Ovis aries: one gene and its partner. The protein of the gene in region 1 interacts with the protein of each later gene in a biochemical or structural test. Links are inferred from orthologs where the notes say so. Each region holds a gene or a part of one and is shown in the gene's direction. Other genes may lie near its edges.

Region 1 (4,296 bases):
TAGCGGGTAACTTGGGACGGCGGGTACTTGGCCAACCAGGCATCCAGCTCTGTGGCAGGTGTCATGCGGGCATCAAACACCAGCCAGGGGTCCATGTCGGCTGCCATGGCCTCTGCAGCCAGGTGCTCAGCAGTGAAGCCATCTTCACGACCACCTGGAGAGTCCTCTTCCTCCAGCTCCTCACCTGGTTCCATCCTGCGGGAGGGAACCGAATCAGGGCAGGGCCGGGACAGACTCAACTTGCTGAGTCCTAGGGGGTGCCAGGGAGAAGGCGATGGCACCCCACTCCAGTACTCTTGCCTGGAGAATCCCATGGATGGAGGAGCCTGGTAGGCTACAGTCCACGGGTCACTAAGAGTCGGACACGACTGAGCGACTTCACTTTCACTTTTCACTTTCATGCACTGGAGAAGGAAATGGCAACCCACTCCAGTGTTCTTGCCTGGAGAATCCCAGGGACGGGGGAGCCTGTTGGGCTGACGTCTATGGGGTCGCACAGAGTCGGACACGACTGGAGCGACTTAGCAGCAGCAGCAGCAGCAGCAGCAGCAGCAGCAGGGGGTGCCAGGCACTGAACTGAACGGTGTGGGCCTGGGCCTCGGCTGCCGCGTCTCCACAATGGATAACAACTTGTTACTGCCTCAAGCAGTTGTGCAGAATTAACCGCCTGAGGTGGAACAAAAGCTATATAAATGTAGTTAGTGTTATTACTGCTCTCCTTGACCTACAAACGAGGAAACCGAAGCTCAGAGAGAAGGGGCTCACTGCAGGTCACACCTTCAGTGAGTGATAGGGCCGAAACGGCAATTCAAATGCGGGAACCGCCGGCCCAGCTACGCCTCCTGGCCCTGCCAGAGCCTGGCCGCTCTCCCGGGCGCTGGGATTTAATGGAGGGAGGCAAAGCACACGTCCTCGCCGCACCGAGGCAGGGCCCATGGGGCCAGGCCTCCGGGCGAGCGTTATCCAACCTACTTAAAGACGAGGGCACTGAGGCGAGAAACGGGCAGTGTCCGATCCGAGACCAACGGGGCGGTGCCTGGACTCGAACCCCGGCTGGATAGAGGCTGCAGGAGAGCCTGCCTCCCGCCCCGCCGCGCCCGCCGCCATTAGTGCCCACGGCCCGAGCTGCGCCCCCGTCCTGCCCCCTCCCGCCAACCCCAGCGTCACCTCCGGCCTTCGCTGCGCTCGGCGCCGGGCCAGCCCCGGGCCCGGCTCCGTTCCTGCCGGGGATCTGCGCCGCTGCCACCGCCGCGCCCCGCCCCCGCCACGGCTGCCGCCGCCGCCGCCATCTTAGTACCCCGGCGCCTCAACAAGAACTTTATAGACAAACGCAGCACAGGGCGGGGCCGGGAAGGGGCGGGGCCATGGGGGCGGGGCCATCAGGGAAGGCGAGGAGGGGCGGGCCTTGGGGGGCGGAGCTAACGTTCGCTCTTCAGGTCTTGGGGGCGGGCGGGAGTGGCGGTTCCGCCCCGGACGGACGCGCAAAGCCCGGGAGGCTCTAAGGGGGAGGGCGCTCGGGCCCTGCCGGCGGCGTCCTGACCGGCGGCGCTAGGACCCTGTAGGAAGCGTTGGGGGCGGAGCCGGCGGCACCAGGACCCGGGGGAACCGCGGCGGACGGGCTAAGAGCAGGCCCGGGTGCCGGGAGGCTGCGGGCGGCGGCGCTGGGTCCGGCGCGGCGGGAGAGGCCCCGAGATGCCGAGCAAGAAGAAGAAGTACAACGCGCGGTTCCCGCCGGTGAGCACGTGAGCGGGCCCCAGAGGAACGGGCCGGGCTCTCGGGAAGCTCCGGCCCAGGCCGGACTAGGGAGGCGGGCGCATCGCCGTGTTCGGGGCCCCGTACGCCCCGCCCCCTTCCGTGCCCTTCCAGCGTGGGTGCCCCCCGCCCCCTTTCTCCCGGGATGCTCCCTCTCTCTGCCCGGCTTAAGCACCCTTTCTGGGACGGAGGCTACGGGGTCCGAGCTGTCTGCCCCCTCCCCAGGCACGAATCAAGAAGATCATGCAGACGGATGAAGAGATTGGGAAGGTGGCGGCGGCCGTGCCTGTCATCATCTGTATCCTGTCGGGAGCTGTCGGGATGGGGGAGTGGGGGAGCCCGGCAGCCCCGGGGTCGCTTTTTGTGGACTGGGCCACCACCCTGCGTTCTCCTTGACCCTCCTCAGCTCGGGCGCTCGAGCTTTTCTTGGAGTCTCTGTTGAAGAAAGCATGCCAAGTTACCCAGTCCCGAAACGCCAAGACCATGACTACATCCCACCTGTGAGTGGCTCCGATCCTAGAGGGCCCAGTTGGGGGTCTTCCTCCAGTTCACACGCCTGGGGGAGGCTGTGCCCTGATAAGGAATTGGTAGGCTGCTGTGAGATCTGTGGATTTGAGGAGGAGGATTAGGATGTTCTGGCCAAGGGGGAGGGTTGGGGTGGAAATTTTCCAGGTTCCATTCCCCTGACATCCACAGAGTCCGTACTGTCCCTTGTTGAGGGCCCAGATGTCTGGGCCTCATCCGAGTGCCAACCCCTTCCCACTTCTTCCAGGAAACAGTGCATTGAGCTGGAGCAGCAGTTTGACTTCTTGAAGGACCTGGTGGCATCTGTGCCTGACATGCAGGGGGATGGAGAAGACAACCACATGGATGGGGACAAGGGTCCCCGCAGGTAGGGTGCCAGGGACCAGTGTCCAGGTGGGGAAGGCCAAGGCCCCTGGACTTGGGGATGGCTGGGGAGTGGTGAAGGAGTGGGGAGACCTGTGGGCAGATGTACTGTACCTTCCCGAAGGGGCCGGAAGCCAGGCAGCAGTGGCCGGAAGAACGGTGGGATGGGAAGCAAAGGCAAGGACAAGAAGCTGTCAGGGACGGACTCAGAGCAGGAGGTGAGTGAGGCCCTAGGCTTCTGGCCCATAGGGTGGACAGGGCAGCCCTATACCAGGCCAGGATGAGCTGGCTGGGGGCCTGGTCCCTCACCTGTGACCTTTGTATTGGTTTCTTTGTAAATTGGGGTTAGTGAGGTCAGCCTCCTGTCCCTGCTTTCCAGTGATGGGGCCCTGCCCTTCTAGTCTCTAAGTCCTGCCTTGTTCTCAGGATGAGTCTGAGGATACAGACAGTGACGGAGAAGAGGAGACACCACAGGTCCCACCCCAGGCCAGCCACCCCCCTGCCCACTTTCAGAGGTAAGTGGCACCAAGGGGCCCACTGACCCCAAGACTGACTCTGGCCTCCCTCCTGGCCTCCCTAGCCACTTGGTTTTGTTGGTCATGGCAGACTGGGGGGATGGTAGGGGAAGAACTAAGAAGGACTTCAAGGCTGGGGACTGTACTCTCAGAAGGTCCTCTTCTGCTAGGTGGGGCTGTGTGACCTGCCCTGGGTCCTTCCGTTCTCTGGGCTTGCTCCCTGTTGGTACAGAGGGTAGTGGGCTCCGGGGATGCCCAGGTGGGGCTGAGTGGGTGGGGATGGGCACCAGAGAGTGGCCTGATCTTTCTTTACTGCTTTCTCCCCTGCAGCCCCCCGACACCCTTCATGCCCTTCACCTCGACCCTGCCTCTGCCCCCAGCACCCCCGGGCCCCTCAGCACCTGACGCAGAGGAAGAAGAGGATTATGACTCCTAGCGCCCTCTGCCCCCCAGGCCACACCCCCTTTAGTTTGTTTTAGTTGCTCTGGGGGGAAGAGAGACCATAGAGCTGTTCTTAAATTTATTAATAAAATAATAACAAAAGGGAACACTCACGTCTGTCCCGGTTTTTGTCCAGGGTTTGTGGCCTCCTTCTCTCCTTCCACCTCCTTCCTGATGCTGAGCTGGGACCCAGAGCCCCGGGGGGCTGGGCAGCAGCTGACTGAAGAGGGGGGGCTGGAGGCCACAGTTCTGCCAGCGCAGGGCCAGGGGTGCCAATGGAAGGAAGGCCGGTCAGAGCGGCAGAGGGTCTGAGCCAGCTGGTGCCGGTCATGCTGGGGGACAGCCTGTCTCATGGTGCTGTGTGTCCGTGGGTAGGTTCCTCTTCTCTGAATGACTTCTTCTTGGCTCTCTGATGTAGACCATTCTGTTCACTCTGGGTTGCTGCAAAGGGACAGGTAACAGAAATGAGTCTGGGAAACTAGAGCTTGGGCCACTTGCCTTAAAGGACATGAGGAGGGGCAGTGGGGGCAGAGGTAGGTGGTGTGGTGGGGGCCCCATGAAGGCTGGCTGGTGAGCAGGCAGTGACTCTGAGCAGACCCTGGAGCTATGCGCACGAGGCAGACATGTGTCTTCCAGGAGAAGCAGCTTGGTGAGGCAGGCGGGAGGTGTGGAGTGCTGCGGGCAGCCTGGAGGCCTGGGT
Region 2 (3,808 bases), on another chromosome or scaffold:
TGTATTCTTTGAGAAAATCACTGACTTAATTTATTTACTATGATTGGTATAGGAAAAAATGTTTTCTTGGTAAAACCACATGTTCTTACATTGGGCCTTTTTTTTCTTTCCTCACAGGAAATGCTTTAGTTTTTAAAAAACTAAAAAGAAAAGGAAAAGTGAAGGCCTGTGCCTTGATATGTTCCTTAAGTTTTAACTAATTTGCAATCTAATATTAAGAAAGCTGATAAAATATTTTGTCTTAGCCATATGGATGATTATTGTGCACCGTAAAATAGGTAAAATTATTAGAAGACAGTAGTCTTCCCCTCCAAATACCTCCCTCTGCCACCCCCACCACCCCATTGGCAAGCTTCACAAAATATTCCACTGGTGAAGAAAAAGTGGTGTTTTATCACTTTCTGATATTTTCATATTTTCATTTTCCCAGCACTAGAAAGTTTAGGCTTTGGCTCTTATATCAGTGAAGTAAAAGAAGTCTTACAAGAATGCAAGACAGTAGCATTAAAAAGAAGAAAGGCCAGTTCTCGTTTGGAAAATCTCGGCATTCCCGAAGAAGAATTATTGAGACAGCAACAGGAATTATTTGCAAAAGTAAGTAACACATATTAACTTATTTCATGTGAATCTGACCCTTTTTTGTACACCAAAATCATACTGTTTTCTAAAATAATTTCCCAAGTCAATATGCATGTCCAAAATTTTGTTTTTGTGGCTGATTGTTTGATCATAGAGTCTGATGTTAGATCTGGCCAGTTTGACTCTATTTGGCCGGCTATTTACTTTACATAAAAGTAAATATTTGCAGCAGCCTGTTTTCTGAGGAGAACAACTCCGAATGACTACTGAGACTTTACTTTGATGTTTTTTTCAGGCAGAATGACCATTTAAAAGCATGAAAAGTATACCTTAACATTCGTAAGATTTAAACTGATGGACTGGTGAGAAAATATTTTATCAAATTTTTAGACGAACAGCATATAAAAAAAATCTGACTAACGTTTACTTTTTAGTTAACTTAGGTCTTTACTGCACCTTTAAAACACTCTGATCTTAAAAACTTTGAAGGGCCAGTGGAGCAGAGAAAGGCAGAAAACTTTTCTCCTTTTTCGCTTGTTCTAATGTCCAGTCTGTGGAGGATTAGCAACAAGAACTATTTGTTATTTCCCTCTGTTTTTAAAGAAAGGAGACCACCGGGAGCTGGAATTGAGTGGAGTTTGTGACTAGCCTCTCAGAATTTCTCCAGTGTTACTGCTCTGCCATCTTCTTGGCCTGCCTTAGCCCATTGTCAGAATCCTGGGTGCCTTCTTCATTCCCTTCCAGGTCCCTTGGTGACAGTAGAAACAAGCTCTGTAATATATTTTGGATCATCCCTCTGTGGAAGATCATATTTTCCAAAGATGACCACTATAGTATCTCTTACCCTTTGTCTCCATGACTCACTGTGCCTTCGTATTACAGCAGAGGCAACAAAGGCTGGCAGCCTTCATTATCTGGTAAAAATACCTAGGGATGAGGATTAGGAGATGAAGAAGCCCATGCAGCATGCAACACAGTTTCCATGTGGAGTGAATAACCCAACAACCAATATGCACATATACCCCATGCTGATGCAAAGAAAAAGCTTTCCATCAGTCCTTTCCACTCAGGCATGGGATGCACTGGGCCTGGTCCAGAATACCCACAGGCAAGAGCAAGAAGAAGAAATTGAGAGGGAAAAATTGGCCTTCCCTCCTCCTCTGCCAGGTTCCTTGAAGTTAGGGAGCAGGTAGTTACAGTGTACAACGGTTCTTTTCTTTAAAAAAAAAAAGTATTTATTTATTTATGTTTGGCTGTGCTGGGTCTTCATTGGTATGTGAACTTTTCTGTAGTTGCAGTCAGCAGGGGTTACTCTCTAGTTGCAGTGCAGGAGCTTCTCCTTGCGGTGGATTTTCTTGTCATGGAGCTCGAGCTCCAGGGCGCACAGGCTTCAGTAGTTGCAGCTCCTGGGCTCTACAGCACAGGCTCAGTAGTTGTGATACACAGGCTTAACTGTTCTACGGCATGTGGGATCTTTCTGGGTCAAGAATCGAACCCGCGTCTCCTGCGTTGGCAGGCGAATTACCACTGAGCCACGAGGGAAACCCTACAGTGATCCTTGAATGACTGAATATTCACTCCATGTAAGACTGAGAGCTTAATAACCTGGTTGTTAAGAATGCAGATCACTGACCAAGGCTAAATTTATCACCAGGGACTGAGATATCTTAATCATATTTTCACTTGCTCTTCTCTGTACCTTCTTCCTGTTTACCCTACAAAGGCAGGAGCAAGGAATTACAAACTTGAAGATTTACAAGAACAGCTTAAAAAATAGTCCATTCCATTTCTGGGTACTACTGAAATGCTCAGATTGCTCAAGCAGACTGTCTATAAGTACTGTCTATAAGTATAATAAAGCATTGAACTCACTTTCCAGTGGGAAGATCTTGAAAGTTAGACCTAAATCATTGGGTCAGAGGTGATTCTCTGGTAAAGAGGATGTAAAATACAGTGTTTCAGTTCCGTAGAGATACTTATTTCATCATAGGAATAGTGCTTTGTGGTCCTTTATAATTGTCTGTCCCTGCCCTCAGTTTGTAAGCTCGCTGACGGCTGGACCTATTATTAATTGTATCTTTAGAAAATCCCATGGACGGAGGAGCCTGGAAGGCTGCAGTCCATGGGGTCGCTGAGGGTTGGACACGACTGAGCAACTTCACTTCCACTTTTCACTTTCATGCATTGGAGAAGGAAATGGCAACCCACTGCAGTGTTCTTGCCTGGAGAATTCCAGGGACGGGGGAGCCTGGTGGGCTGCTGTCTATGGGGTCGCACAGAGTCGGACATGACTGAAGTGACTTAGCAGCAGCAGCAGCAGCAGCAGCAGCAGCAGCACCCATCTGACTTGGTAACTAGCACAGGGGGAGTATTCAGTAAATATTTGTTGAATAAATGACTGAGTTAAATTGATGAGTCAGGGAAGCACAGAATTCTAGGGGTGGAACAGACTTGAAATCATTTACTTTAACCTTGATCTTATAAATTATGATTCTGAACTTTGAGGAGGTTCAAGAATCTATTCACCATTATGGAAAAAAAAAGGAGGTGGGGAGAAGTGAGGCTGTTTTTTCCCTACAAAGTTCTGGCTTCTCAACTTGAAAATGGAAGACAGATTTGGTTTGAATAGAAGAGGTGAGAATTGATACAAGTTACTATAACTACTATTAGAACTAGGAAATACCATTTTAGGTCTTTTCCAGATTAGTTCCATAACTGATCTCTTTATAGTCATTAACAACCAGTTTGGTTTAAGTATTTAAATTTTAAGTTATCAAGCACTAGATACCAGATACCATTTAAACTGATAAGGAAGATAAAGCTTACCAATGTTTATTGAGTTCTAACCATGTGTTAATCATGTGCCAAGTGATTTACCAGTATCATTTAATCCTCACAACATAGAAAACAGGTACTTAAGTAGAAAAGCCTTTGAGGCAGGTAAGACCACATGCAAACAGTGTTGTAATCCATATGAATAGGAGGTACCAATGGAGGATTGAAAGTTTTTTTAAAAAGCTAGTGGCTATTATTTATTGAGTCTCTACTATGGGAGATCACCTACAGGGTGCCAGCGTAAATATTTGATAAAGGGAAAGATGCTCTGCTAAACATTTTATATACTTTGCAGAGTTTTCAATGAACAAAACAAATTTTACTGTACCCATTTACACTTTAAGAAACAGACTCAGAGATGGAGAGACTTTCATGAGATCATTTGTTCTACAGA

The links.
Region 2: the proteins of DRAP1 (region 1) and DR1 form a complex in vitro, tested with the Homo sapiens proteins (2 studies listed by BioGRID). The link is inferred for Ovis aries from reciprocal best matches to the Homo sapiens genes DRAP1 and DR1.

What each region holds. Positions count from the first base shown.
Region 1 is NC_056074.1:40,463,426-40,467,721, forward strand, and holds DRAP1 (dr1-associated corepressor), read left to right. Parts: upstream 1-1,560; 5' UTR 1,561-1,692; coding exon 1,693-1,734; intron 1,735-1,977; coding exon 1,978-2,050; intron 2,051-2,158; coding exon 2,159-2,252; intron 2,253-2,524; coding exon 2,525-2,644; intron 2,645-2,764; coding exon 2,765-2,858; intron 2,859-3,066; coding exon 3,067-3,155; intron 3,156-3,485; coding exon 3,486-3,591; 3' UTR 3,592-3,703; downstream 3,704-4,296. Other genes in the region: C21H11orf68 (UPF0696 protein C11orf68 homolog), read right to left, coding at 1-195, 1,168-1,289. UniProt on the Homo sapiens protein: The association of the DR1/DRAP1 heterodimer with TBP results in a functional repression of both activated and basal transcription of class II genes.
Region 2 is NC_056054.1:70,565,645-70,569,452, forward strand, and holds part of DR1 (protein Dr1), read left to right. Parts: intron 1-430; coding exon 431-594; intron 595-3,808. UniProt on the Homo sapiens protein: The association of the DR1/DRAP1 heterodimer with TBP results in a functional repression of both activated and basal transcription of class II genes.